2 linked regions of the Stegostoma tigrinum genome follow. The protein of the gene in region 2 purifies or fractionates together with the protein of the main gene of each other region. This does not show direct contact. Links are inferred from orthologs where the notes say so. Each region holds a gene or a part of one and is shown on either strand. Other genes may lie near its edges.

Region 1 (7,291 bases), on a different chromosome or scaffold from region 2:
CATCTTATAATGCTGGTGTAGACAGATTCCACCTTGAGATAGAAACAAGCTTGACCCCATCATCCCGCAGCTCTGATGTTGTGACTGAAAGGAATCCACTGGTAAGAACAAAGGTCAACTGTAAGTGTGCTAACTTGACAGTATTGAAATCAGTCAACAATTTAAACTTCAGCATTCGAAATAAATGGTGTAACAAAAAGAAAATGAGTTTGCCAATTTGAACTTTCTTTACTAACTTCTGACCAAGTGAAAGATATGATTATTTTAACAAACCTATGTGTGGCGCCACTAAATACTGAGATTACATCACAGATTAACCGGTTCAGAGTACACCTACAAACTTTGTTTTATTTCAGCTAAAACAGAAACTCGTTAAGGATCATGGGAACGTAGTCTCCATTGTAAACTGTTAAACTATTTGTCAACTTCAGCAAATTAAGTGGTCTCACACTTGAATGCCTTCCATAATTTAAACTGTTCTGGAATTGTGGGATTTCTGCCTTTTGGGATATTATTTGGTATCACCAGTTCCTTGACATTGACTGCGACCAACCCTCTCACTAAGTGTTTTGAGTGAAGCACGCTGCTTGCAACTTTTCTCCTACTTGGTGAAAAATCTTAATTTTTGAACCCACTGCAGCCCCACCACAAAAGACTTCAAATTTCCAACTTAATGCCTATGACCACCATTGACTGCTGAAACCCTTCTTTTGCTCTTTGCCACTCACAGACTCAATTATCCAATACTCACCTTACCAGCCTATGTTTCAGATACTGCAACTGATTCATCTAGAACAAAATTCTCTCCCACATAGGTCCCACTCACCTAACTTTTGCAAACCTGCACTGACTCAATGTCTCAAACTTAACATTTTCATTTTCCATGACTGACTATTCTGATATGACACCAATCTTTAAAATTCTATTAAGTTCGACAAATCCTTTGCAAATTACTTAAGCCATACAAGCACACCCCTTCACCCCCCAAGACTCCTGTATTCCGCCAACTCTGGTTTCTACGCCCCTGATTTTCATGGGTATATGGCTGCCCTCAGCTGCAAGACCACAAGGTCTGGAATTCCTTTCTCAAGGCAACCGTCTAGGTTATAATGCTAACAGTCCCAATTAAAGAGCCATAAAGTGATACTAAGAAAGGTCCAAGATCTTGGTCAGTGTTGAAATGCAATTCCTTTCTCATTGAGCAGGATACTATTGCAACGAACAGCTGTACTTTTTATGGAATGACATAGAAAAAAGATGACAGGCTATGACCTGAAATATTAACTCTGTTTCTACGTTCACAGATATTGCCAGTCCTGTTGAGTATTTCCAACATTTGTTGTTTTTATTTCAGGAAGTGAATGAGATTTGAGGACCTTTATGGAGGGACATCCGTTGCTTAGAGTCTGGTCTGGACAGGAGAAGGAACAGTTAGTATCAGTAGAGCAACTTCACTCCAATTGCTCAATGGGTGTTAATTGGGGGAGTGTTAAGACCTTGGAACTCCACAAATTTGGTTGATATCAAGAGACAGGGAAATGATGCACAAATATCATTCCTTCATTTTTCATTTGGAAAAAGTGTGCTTCCAACATTCTACGCATCTTATTACAAGTGGAAAGTGTTGTGGACATCAAATGTTTTAAAAACCTAATACTGAAGAATTCACAATACTAGTGACAGGTACTGCATTGGTAGAATTGTCACCACTTTGTGACATAAAACTGAGGCCCATTCGCATGGTCTCATACTAAGATCCAAAAGGTACTACTGAAGAGGAGTAGGGGTACCCAGCTAACATTTACTGCTAAAAATACTGAAAACAGTTTGAATTTTCTCTAGCATTTGCATCACCATATTGTGATATCACAATGGATAGGTATTTTTAAATCAACCTCTATGGGGATGTTATGACACACAAAGGCAAAATACCATACATACTGGAAATCTAAGACTAACACAGAATGCTAGAGAAGCTCAATGGTTTGGTATCATCTGTGGAGACAGAAAGAGTTAACTTTGGGTCAAAATATTAACTATGTTATGACACACCTCTTGAACCCAAGCATTCTAGCCCATACATAATGACACTTCCAACTGGACAACAGCAGATATACTTGGAGAGCAATTTCTGAAGTAGTCAGCCAAAAAAAGAATACATTACATTCTACAAAAGAAGCTCCAAAAAAACAGATTTCCCAAATTGATTCTCAGTGTAGATTAAAATAATTTAACGTTTCATCAATATAATTAATCAGTGTTACGAGTGATCAGATTTCCTCAATGACACAACAACAGCAGTTAAGGGGTACAGCGACTCCAAACCACCCAAATGTTCTTACAAAGCCCTTCGCCCTCGCTTCCCGATAATGGTTCAAAGACAAAGTTACTCACGACGCATGAAAAGATTTAAAAAAAAACAAATTATATCCCTTTATTTTGGCCGGGGGAGGGGTAGGAGAGGGGGGGTGGTACGTTGAACATCAGTGAAGTGGGGGGGGGGGGGGTAGTATAATCAGTAGATGTGAAACTGCAATAAAAACCCCACTATTGATCCCTGTCCCCTCCAAAGGGGCTAGGGGCCCTAAACAGCAGTCGGTGCAGCTTTCATGCGAGGCGGGGGTTACAGCTCACAGCCCAAAAGCGAAGCTACCTCTAGTACAACGGCAATAGTCACCGCTGACTACATGTGCCCACCTCGCTCGATCTCTTACCTAAGGCAGTGCTGAGGCCCGGCCTCACACTACACCAAACTCGGCTCCACAGTCAAACAGAAAATCTCCCTCTCGCCCCGACCGTCCAGCTTAAGCTGCTTCCCCACAAACAATCGACTAGAGCGGTCCCAAAAGTCACAGCAGGATCCGAAGAAACAAGGGGAAAGAGTATGAAGGCGGACCAACAAACTCAACTGCTCACGATCTTCCTCTCTGTCCTTCTCCCTCTCCGACACCGGCACTTTCACTCCAAACTTCCCAAACGATTCAGACAGGGCGCCGCCATTTTGAACAAACCACCCCCACACGGACGACGAGTAAACGCACATGCGCATCTGATATCGCTCTTCCCCATTCCTCCACCCTCTAACAACAGGAACGCCAAGTCGTGATCTGATTGACGGCCAGCTCCAGCCCATTGAAAGCCAGCCTTGGCGGGAGGCTGTATCGTCATTCATCCAATCGACGGTATCCGCGACGGGAATGGGGCAGGGTACATTGCAAGGGCTGGGGGCGGGTTTTGACGGTTCAAACTGGTCGGGTGGGGCGGCATGGCTCGTGATTGATGACACTTGGAACCAATGGACATGAGAGCCTCTTGTAGGTGAACCAATCACGGTGGCAGCGGGGTGGGCGCTTTGGGTCGCTATCAAGTTAGGCTGAGAGGTAGCATCAAGCTTGACTGACTGGGGTGATTTTTTCAATCTGCTGTGACTGCCGGTTTATTTTTCCTTCAACAGACAACTGCGGTGTTCAGGTTATTCAGTTGCTCTCTTCCTTCAGCTTTTTTTTTATTGCGATTGGCTTCTATCGGTGTGAAATGCCGTTGGTACCTAGCTTATTTTGCGCGCTTGTGTCTGAGTGTAAGGACATGAGTGAGTGATGGAGCAGGCAGGGCCTGTAGAGCCTTAACCCTTTATTTGGCTGTTGCATACTTTTTTTTAGTGTCAGGGATCATGTAAACCCTCATCTTCACGAAGTCCAAAGTCAGACTTTGGGCATTGCAGGGTTAAAGAGCCAGGTTTAATCAGGACGAGGTAGACGTTTTTTTTAAAATTGGCTTTTAAGCAAATTATTAAACGTTTGTTCTATATAACTTCATTTGGGAGAAGTAGACGTTTGGCGAGAGTGGTTCGATTTTAAGCACGAATGGACAGTGCCACTGACGGCACTGTCTGATCCGTAGCAAGGTATTAAGTTGCTGTAATTTAAATTATGAGTTTTTGCTTGGTGTGTAGCCATCTCGCCGCGGATCAAACGGTGTGGGCTACAAGTTCCACTCGAGAGACTTGAGGTTTGACCATAACCTGGGCTAACGCTCTAATGCCATTAGACAAGGAGTGCGACACGTTTAGAGAGAATTTTTCAGATCAAAAAATTGTACTGTTAGGGGCAGTAATGGCCTAGTGGTTTTATTGCTGGATTGTTAATCCAGAGACCCAGATAATCTTCTGGGGACGAATCAGATGGTGGGATTTGAATTCAATAAAATATCTGGAATTAAGAATCTAATGACCGTGTTGTTGAATGTTGGGGAAAAACTCATTTGGTTCACCAATGTTCTTTAGGCAAGAAAACTGCCATCCTTATCTTGTCTGGCCTGCATGTAACTCCAGATGCACAGCAATGTGGTTGACTCTTAACTGCCCTCATGGGCAATAAATGCTGCCGAGCCAGCGATGCCGTCATTTCATAAATGAAGAAAGAATAAAGACTGTTGTGAACAATAGAAGGATGTTCTCTGTGGTGTCATGGCCAATGTTTATCCGTCAGGCAACATAACAAACCAAATAAACTGACCACTAGCATTGTTCTTTGTGGCATGGTTTACTCTGAACAAATCAGTTGTTATATTTCTTGCTTGACAACTGTTCTTGTAGTCACCTGACCCACTATTCAAGATGCTATCTCTTCAGGCTAGTGAGTTTTTACCTTGGGTCTTTATGCGTCATTCCTGTCATATAGATCAAAGTACTTGGTGGATGAATTGTCACTATTCTGAATGAATAATGGAAAACCCTCACAATCATTGAGGTCAATGATGTTGTACTTTAAGGAGAGCTTCAGAGTGTCCATGAAATATTTTCTTTGGCCTCCATTGGATTATTTCTCATTTGAACATTGAGGAAACAGGAACTGGTGGGGAGGTGATTTTTGTTCGCAGTGATCAGTCTGACAAAATTGATTTTGCTGGGGCTTTGTCTGTTTATTGATAGACCTAGTTCCAGTAGGATACTAGTATTAATGAGATGGTTTTCCTAAATCCAGAAAATCCACCTTCATAGTGGCAATATGTACGCCAAGGGTCACTGCAAAACAGGAATGTTCCCAACATCACAACAGAAATGACCACATTTCAAAAGTAGTTCATTAGCTGTAAAGTGCTTTGAGATGTCTTGAAGCCCTGAAATTTGCTATTTAGGTGCAAGTTTTCTTTTAATGTTTGGTGATTTACACTGCTCTGTGTCTTCTGGAGTGTTGACTGATGCAGCAGCCAACAATTTAATTAATTTTTTAAAAATGGTGTTGGTTGATAAAGGAATAGTTTTTTGAATACCAGCAGACAATCCTTGATTTAGGAAAGTTCTGTTACTTTATTCAAAGTTACAGTATTTCTTGATGGTAGTGATAAATTTACAATAATGCTTTCAACTGATTACTTTTACCAGTCTGGACAACTCTCTTTATGTAGTAGAGAGAGATAATGGGAACTGCAGATGCTGGAGAATCCAACCAAATAAAATGTGAGGCTGGATGAACACAGCAGGCCAAGCAGCATCTCAGGAGCACAAAAGCTGATGTTTCAGGCCTAGACCCTTCTTCAGAAAAAAAAAATTCTGATGAAGGGTCTAGGCCCAAAAGCATCTTTTGTGCTCCTAAGATGCTGCTTGGCCTGCTGTGTTCATCCAGCCCCACACTTTTTATTATCTTGGATTCTCCAGCATCTGCAGTTCCCATTGTATCTGAAACATGTATATGAAAGGCTAGTTGGGCATATTTTGTATAGCTGGACACTTTGATTTCATAGAACTTTAGGGTATGGATTTGAAGGTGTTACTGTCCACTGTTTTACTTTTCTAGGAGGACTTGCCTCAGTGACTAGAATGTGTAAATTGCATGAATGCAATCTCTTTTTCTTCTTCTCTTTTTCTTTTAGTATAACTAACCCCTGATCCATTGCTCATGGTAAGCCAAAGAATGAACTGGTTTTGATTCATAGATGTTTAGTGCACAGGAGGTCACATGGCCCGGTATGTCAATGCCAGCCTTGTTTGGAGGCAGTCCAAAACAAAATTTTTTTTTCTCCTGTATATTGTAAAAGAAATCATAAAAAGCATGAGGGGTATTTGCTCAGATATTCCGGAAGTTAATACTTGATTGAGATGTTATAGGCCATTGTGACAATTCAGGATTTGCCCTTTTTTTTCATTGTGGGAGAGATTGCAGAACAAGACAGATGGAGAATGCGAAAAACTTGATTCGTATTTGTAAGAGAAGATTATCCAACTATCCTAGAAAAAGGAAATAAAGGAGCATTGTTTGAAAAGTTTCAACTCTCCTACATCTAGCTTAGATGTGCTTAATTTGATTCAACGCTTATGGACTAAAACAATTTTTTAGAAAGGACAATGTTCCACAAGTGAATTTAAAAAACAATGTCAGTCATGTGGGGGAAAGCACAGTGGCTCAGTGGTTAGCGCTGCTGCCTCACAGACCCTGGGACCTGGGTTCAATTCTAGCCTCGGTCAACTGTTTGCATGGGGTTTTACTGTTCTCGCCATGTCTGTGTGGGTTTCCATTGGGTGCCCTGGATTCCTCCTACAGTCCGAAGATATGCAAGTTAGGTGGATTGGCCATGTTCAATTTCCAATAGTGTTCAGGGAAATCCAGGTTAGTTGCATTATCTACTAGTACTGAAGTGCAGGTTTAAGGAATGAGTTTGGATGGAATGCTCTTTGACGGGTTGGTGTGCACTTCTTGGGCTGAATGGGGTTCTATGATTATTATGTCGTGATGTAATTCATATTTCCACTGGAAATATGGGTTTTAATTCCTCCACAGATGTTTTGTAGAATTTGATTTCAGTTAATAAATCTGCTTCACTGATACCCCTTAAGGAAGGAAGTCTGCTGTCCTAACATTGTCTGGCCTGTATGTGACTTGATAGCTACAGCAATGTGGTTTACTTTCAACTACCCCACTTGAAGTGACTGAGTAGGTCACTCAGTTCACGGGCAATTAGAAATGGGTAACAAATGCTGGACTTGTTGATAACACCCATATCCCAAGAAATACTAAAGGAAAGAAAACAAAATTGCCCAGACAGATTCTCCAAAAAAAAACTCACATTTATAACAGTGATGTTTTTTCCTGAAAGATAACCCATAGTACTTCAAAGCTAATTTATCTTCTTTGGAAGTGTAGTTACTGTTATTATGTAGGAAACAGGCAGTCAATTTACATGTAGCTAGGTTCTAATCATTTCCAAATAATTTGTTTTTAGCTGTGATAATGTGTGCTGAATCCAAGACTGAGTGTAAGTTATTATTATGTGTAATAATGTTTCACTTATAAAT
Region 2 (7,415 bases):
TGCCTTCAGCCGAGATGTCCAAATATTTAAATTATTTGATGGGAAGTTGGTATTGCAGGCTGGGCAAGTATTAATAGTCTATGTCTACCTACAAAGATGATGGTGAGCAGCCTTCTGGAACTGCTGAAATCCTAGGAGCACAGGTAGACCCACACTGGTAAGAAGAAGGAAGTTCCAGGAATTTGACCAAGAAACAGCAATGTCAATTAGGATGGTTTGGGGTTTGGGCAAAAATATTGCAGAACATGTTTAATGTTTTACCCTCTGATATTCTTTTTCTATTTTACAAGCAGGAAAATAATGATTGCACACCTCATAATACACCATGTGCACACATTTTTCAGAGAATTTTGGCCAAATTTCAGAAGTCAAGCTCAAACTACAAAATAACATATTATATAGCTAGAGAAGGCAAACAGTTGTGTGGTCTTATCTCCACCATTCTAAATGGAACAGTATTGTACAGCTATGAAGCTAAGATATAGGAAGTTATTTGAGAAAGCCCAAGCAGCTAGTGCGAGAAACTACTTTTCAATACCAACAGAACAAAGCATGGGATTAGTTTAGAAATAGCATCATGGTCAGCACAGACATGGTAGGTTGAGGGTCTATTCCTCTGCTATACTGTTCTGAACTGGTTCTAAAAAGGTACCTGAACAATGATCAGCAAATTACTTTCAAACCCAGAGGTCTTGAAGTACAGGCCCTATATGATTCTTATATTCTTTACTTGCTATTTAATCACATGCAAATTTTGTGAGTTGAGTTGTTTGAATAAAAGGTTTACTTATTCTTAAAAATTGTTGACATATAACTGCAAATTCAGAACATCAAGACACATTTCTATCAGAAATATGAGGATTTTACAAGTTATTGGCAATGACAGATGATTCTCAAAGTCCCACTGATGCAAAGAAGTTGGGAATTACCGCCAGAAACCATATACAAATTAGAAATACAGCAGTACCCAAAAATGACAAAAATTCATATGTAGCCTCACTCCTTCTCAGATGTTCATCACTATATAGACTTGCAGTAGTTTAAGCTTCCATTTGTTCTTAATAACACATCATGAAATAGATCATAAAAACAAATCATCAGCTATAGGTGGCTGAACAAATATTCGATATTATGACTGCACCATTTTAGTTTCACAAGTGTTTCATCAACTATTCAATTACACAGGTTACCAAAAAGCTAGAGCTAAATATCAAAATACTTCCTAGTGTTATCCCCAATGGCGAAAAGATCTCTTTTTGCCAACAGTCAAGAGCTGATAAAGAATGAGTGGGTCAAGAACTGAATCCTCAAACAAACTAAATAACTGCAATTTCAAGAGAGTACCGAATGTTGCACTCTCTCAAATATTGTTACATAAAAACCACAAATGCAAAATTATCATTAATGGTACAAAGCTCAGTGTTCAATTCAATCATTTGCAAATTTGCTTTCTCACAAAGCATGACTTTTTAAAACTTCTAAAACTTAATTAAAAAAAACCATAAATCCTATGTGAGACTCCAAACATTTTAAACAATTTAACTGCCCAAATGAGTTGTGTAGTATCAAGAAACATTGCATTCGCTATTCAACGCCTACAGTTAATGTATGGCAGGAACTTATCAAACGGGCATGACGCGTAATGTATGTACACTACCTTTCCGATTTCAAGAAACATTGGATGTACATTTTTTCTCTTTACAATATTTGATGCTTGATACGTTATGTTTCACGTACATACTTCCGACTTTAAGGAATGTGTGTACACGGGGTACATTTCGGACTAATTTTTAGATATATTTAACACGATAATAGTTCAAACACTCGAGATGTGCAGACTGTTGTCTCACCTGAGTTCCGGGCTCCGGCTGTAAGGACTGGACGAGCGTCGCCGACTGCTGGAGGAGTAGGGAGCGGGGGACAGAGCGCCATAATCATAGGGACTAAGGTGCCTGGAGAAGCTGGGAGAGCGGCGGCGTGAAGTCGGGTAAGGGCTGGGAGAACGACCGGTATAGCCGGCGTGTAACGCCGACTCCCGCGAGCTGTACAGCGGCTTGAAAGCGAAGAGCGGCGGCGGAGGGCTGTACAGCTCGAAGGCAGGGGGCCTGCTGGGGCTATGGCCGGAGGTGACCCCGTAAGCCTGCGGGTAACACGAGACAGATGTACCGTAGGGGCTCTGCTCCCGGTAAGGCGGACTGCGGGGCCCGGGAGAGGTCGAGGTGCGGTAGGCCCGCGGAGCCTCCCAGTCGGCTTCCCGGTAGGCCCGCGGCGGAGGCTCTCTGTAAGCCGCGGGCGTCTCTTTGTCGGTGCGGTGCGAACCGCGGCCTCCCCGGGCCTCCTTGTCGCCTTGGGCCGGCTGCTCGGCCGCCGCCCCGGCTTTGTTCCGGCTCCGGCTTTTACTCTTGGCCTTGCCGTCCGCCCTGGACCGGGAGCTCTCTTTGCCCTTGTCCCGTCTGCGCCTCTCCTTGTCGCGGGATCGCTCGGCCCGGCGCCCAGCTGAAGACGCGGGGCTGAAGCCGAAATTCTCCGACTGTGAGCTCACGTCCTCGTACTCGACCAGGCCGCGGAGCGGGAGGGCCGAGGAGCCCGAAGCCGAGCAGGCTGCCGCGGCGGACCCCGGGTACTTGCCGTCCCTCCGCTGGGCCCGGCTCTCGGCCGAGCGCTTCCTGCGGCGTTTCCTGCGCCGCGAACGCGACGAAGGGCGAGGAGGAGCGGACGAGGCGGCGGCGGCGGTCGAGCAGCGGCCTTTATCCCGGGCCTGGGCCGGAGCCGGGCCGCTCTGGCTCTGGTGTCTCCTCCCGCTGGGGCTGCGACCCCGGCTCCCGCCGCGCGTATCCGAACTCGGCATTGACTTCCGCGACTCCCCGTATCCCCCTCCAGCTCCGGGGCCGCTCACTCCATCCGCTCGGAGCTGCCGCGCATTCCCGGTCTCCGGGCGAGGGAAGAGAAATCGGCGGAAAATAAAAAGCGAAGCCGGGAGGGAAGCTGGGCCTACCGCCTGTGGGAGTTTGGTGCCGCAGCGGTGGAGGGGGGGGGGGTGGTGGAGAGAGAGAAACAGGCTCTTAGCGCCCCCCCTCTCGCTCCTCTTCGCTCTAACAGCGTCGGCTCGTCCCCGGCCCCCGCAGCGCGCGCAACACTCGCCGCCTCTGCGCCGACTCACAAAATGGCCGCCTCCCGGTTTTGGGTGGTTGCGGGGTGTAGACCAGCCGCGACCGTGCGGCTAACCCTGCCCTGCCCGTTCACTTCCGGGGCGAGCCTCCAGGCAGTTGGAGAGGAGGAGGAGGAGGCGGTGATAATGTCTCTCGTCCTCGATGTACATGAGGGAGGGGGTGTGTAAGAGAGAGAGAGAGAGAGAGAGAAACAAGACCTGGATAACACAGTTGCACAACAGAGGAGGCGCCGGATCTGATGAAGGGTCCAGGCCCGAAACGTCAGCTTTTGTGCTCATGAGATGCTGCTTGGCCTGCTGTGTTCATCCAGCATCACACTTTGTTATCTTGCACAACAGAGGACTTTTATTTGCAAAAATTAGGTTAGTAGCACGAAACTCATCACAACATTTCTCTTGTGCAGCTCTTTGTACCGCTGGACCACCACTAGCCCAAGCACGCTGGATAGAAATGTGGAGGGTCTGGAAAGTTGATATTTTCCAATGAACCTAGTGCCATGTGATTTTTGACCTCAGCAGCCAAGACTCATTTGTACAGCATAAGAACAGTCCCCTCTCCCCCACCCCCAAAAAAATTTCTTTTGAACGCCCACCACATATTCTAGCTTAATGTGGACCCTTCCGCTTCATATACCCATCCAGCAGCCTTTTAAACGGAATTACGCCTGCCTCAGGTAGTTCATTTTAAATCTTTCCTCGAGCTTTTACCCTATTCACACCCCTCTTCTATGAACGTTTTGCCACTTTCAGCATCTTTTTAAATAGTGTAGCCTCTAAATCCTAAACAAATGAAGAAATATAAAGTTGTCAAGCCCTGAAAAGCTATGCTAATTAGCTGACAAGAGTCCAAGTACCCACATTTCCCTGTTCAAAACTACTTTACCTTGAACAAATTTTATTGCTTAAGACAAAAACACAACAAATGCTAGGAAATCTGAAGTACAATTCAGTCTAAAAGCAGCTTTTCAGGTAATATTTTTCCCCCTGTTGGACTAGGGACTCCAGTTGGAGATTAAACGGCTGTAACAACTGGGAAGGAGAAAGGAACTAATTTCTCCTAATAGTGATAATGGGAACTGCAGATGCTGGAGAATCCAAGATAACAAAGTGTGAAGCTGGATGAACACAGCAGGCCAAGCAGCATCTCATGAGCACAAAAGCTGACGTTTCGGGGCTAGACCCTTCATCGGAGAGGGGGATAGGGAGAGGGTTCTGAATTAGGGAGAAAGGGGGAGGTAGACCAAAGATGGACAGAAAAGATGATAGTTGGAGAGGGGCATAGAGGTGGGGAAGTAGGAAGGGGATAGGTCAAGGTGGTAGGATGAGGTTAGTAGGAAGTGGAGGTGCGGCTTGAGGTGGGAGGAAGGGATGGGTGAAAGGAAGAACAGGTTAGGGAGGCGGAGACAGGCTGGGCTGGTTTTGGGATGCAGTGGGGGAAGGGGAGATTTTGAAGCTTGTGAAGTCCACATTGATACCATTCGGTACTTTCCATATTAAGCAGATGTTCACCTACACATCTGCCAATGTGGTATACTGCATCCATTGTACCCAGTGTGGCTTCCTTTACATTGGGGAAACCAAGCAGAGGCTTGGGGACTGCTTTGCAGAACACCTCCGCTCAGTTTGCAATAAACAACTGCACCTGCCAGTCGCGAAACATTTTAAATCTCCCTTCCCTTCCTCAGACGACATGTCCATCATGGGACCCCCTGCAGTGTCACAACGATGCCACCCAAAGATTGCAGGAACGGCAACTCATATTCCACTTGGGAACCCTGCAGCCCAATGGTATCAATGTGGACTTCACAAGCTTCAAAATCTCCCCTTCCCCCACTGCATCCCAAAACCAGCCCAGCCTGTCTCCCTCTCACCCATCCCTTCCTTCCACCTCCAGCCACCTATTTCCTACCTACTAATCTCATCCCACCTCCTTGACCTGTCCGTCTTCCCTGGACTGACCTATCCCCTCCCTACTTACCCACCTATACGCCCCTGTCCACCTATCTTCTTTTCCCTCCAACTTCGGTCCACCTCCCCCTCTCTCCCTATTTATCCCAGAACCCTCTCCCCATCCCCGTCTCTGAAGGAAGGTCTAGGCCCGAAACGTCCGCTTTTGTGCTGCTGAGATGCCGCTTGGCCTGCTGTGTTCATCCAGCCTCACATTTTATTATCTTGGAATCTCCAGCATCTGCAGTTCCCATTATCTCCCACACTTTGTCATAATTAATTTCTCCTAATAGTCAGTCACCAGGTGGTATCCTACTACCTTGTGACACCCCATCATTTAACAGATTGTTAGGATGATCAACTAACAGTTCTCCTACCCAGCTGGATCCCAGAAATCGATTCCTGGCTCCTATTTCTAATCTACATGCTTCCCTCATGACATTATTCAAGTAGTACTTGCAGCACGCACACTGTCAACACACAGCTCCATTTAACTAACTTCTTTCTTGACTGCTACTCCTTGGCTAGCACCTAGTACTAGATAAAGAGAAATTTAATGGAATTAAAACGAATGGAATGGTAGAGATAGAGATAATGAGATGAAAATGAAAACAAAAACTTTGGAAAGGCTGGTTACAATGAATAAATTACCTGGTCCAAGTAGCCTCTCTCACAGGCAAGCTAAGAGAAGCAGGGATAGCAGAAGATTGGTTAACCAAGTTAAAAAGTACATACTTCAGAAATATCATCAAGCTCTGAGCATCTATCATATTTCCCTTTCTCATCCAGCATACATTGCTGCCACTCCACACAAGTGGTCAAAAGATTGAATGTTCAAAGTGGCTGAATAAGTGCTGATCAAATAGCCTGTTTTGTCCTGAAAAGTGTTAAGCTAAGTGTTAAGTCACATTCAGCCAGTTAAGTGAAGACTATTTACACCTTATTCCTGACCTAACTTATAGATGGTAGTCAGGCTTTGGAACTCAAAGCAAGTTAATTCTCAGCCTCTGACTGGTTCTTGTAGCTACAGAATTTGCACAGCTGTTCCAGTCCAGTTTGATTAATGAGAGTCAGCAATAGTAATGCCTTTTTGTGTCATGGAGAGATGGTCATGGCCTGAACTTGTCATCTAGTATAACTCAAAGTCTGTGCTACCTGTAGATGCTAACACTGCTTCAGTTTTTTCCTAATCCCAATGTGGATAGAAATAATCATAATTGGCCGCAGATCTTTCCCAAATCGTCACAACGCCCTCACCACTCTGCTGGAGCACAAGAGTTGATTGATCATTTGTATCTACACCTATGCAATGCCTTCAACCGTGATAGCCAGAAAAGTTGATTTACTTTAATGTGTTTGCACACTTTATAGATAAATGCAACCCTCAATCCAGTTTTATTTTCATATTCAGTTTACAATATGGATAATCATGACATTGAGCAATCACAAATTTTCAGTTTGCATTTTAATCCAAAAACAACATCTATTATGTAACTACTCTAAACAGCACCTTAGCTGAACAGAACAGTGGCTAGCAGGCACATGTTGAATTTTGACTTGGGCTGCAGTGGCAATTCATTAAAATATTTGCTATTGAGTTCATTCACTAAGTAGTCACACAAGCCAAGTTCCATACTCACAATTGAAAATATCCTACATGTTGCTGAACCCGGAGGTACTATTAGCACCTTTTGACAGTCACATTTTGCCACTACATAAAGAAAGAAACTCTGCCAAGAAAACTAAAGAAAAGGTACCTAGCAGTGAGAATTTTCTGCACTAAGTAAAAATTGGAAAGCCAGGGGCATGCTAAACTTTTCACAATGACAATTGGCTGCTGCAAGCTCTGAACCTTTTGCCAAATTCACACAATTGTTGATTAAAGGAATTAGGGCACAAATCTATTGAAAGGATTGTTAGCACATTGAATCTGCAGGCCCGACACATTGCAATTGCAATGCATAGCCAATCATACAGCAAGATTATCTGAAGCTAATAATAGCAATAGAATTCAGGAACAGATTTATCAAAGGCAGGAGAGGCGTTAAGGATAGCAAAATGGCTAAAAAGGAAGCATCAGAAAAGAGATCACAGGTTGCAATAAAACAAATAGCTCAATGCTCTTCAAACATGTTAATAAAAGATTAGCAAAGTTTCGAGTAGGACACCAGGAACAAGCAGGGCAAACTCTTTACTGAAATAAAAAGGGTACAGAAGAGTTATTAATTGAATAAATTTGCTGGCGTCTTCAACATAGAACAGTCCAGGCCCTTTGGCCCACGATGTTGTGCCAAACTTT

Evidence for each region.
Region 1: the proteins of cdk13 (region 2) and ccnk purify together in Homo sapiens (affinity purification with mass spectrometry; 4 studies listed by BioGRID and IntAct, counting the BioPlex papers as one, with this or other methods). This does not show direct contact. The link is inferred for Stegostoma tigrinum from reciprocal best matches to the Homo sapiens genes CDK13 and CCNK.

What each region holds. Positions count from the first base shown.
Region 1 is NC_081363.1:18,537,523-18,544,813, forward strand, and holds the start of ccnk (cyclin-K), read right to left. Parts: upstream 3,116-7,291; 5' UTR 3,050-3,115; coding exon 2,910-3,049; exon of another isoform or gene 2,715-2,909; intron 88-2,714; exon of another isoform or gene 33-87; intron 1-32. UniProt on the Homo sapiens protein: Regulatory subunit of cyclin-dependent kinases that mediates activation of target kinases.
Region 2 is NC_081358.1:9,972,549-9,979,963, forward strand, and holds the start of cdk13 (cyclin-dependent kinase 13), read right to left. Parts: upstream 3,238-7,415; 5' UTR 2,849-3,237; coding exon 1,851-2,848; intron 1-1,850. UniProt on the Homo sapiens protein: Cyclin-dependent kinase which displays CTD kinase activity and is required for RNA splicing.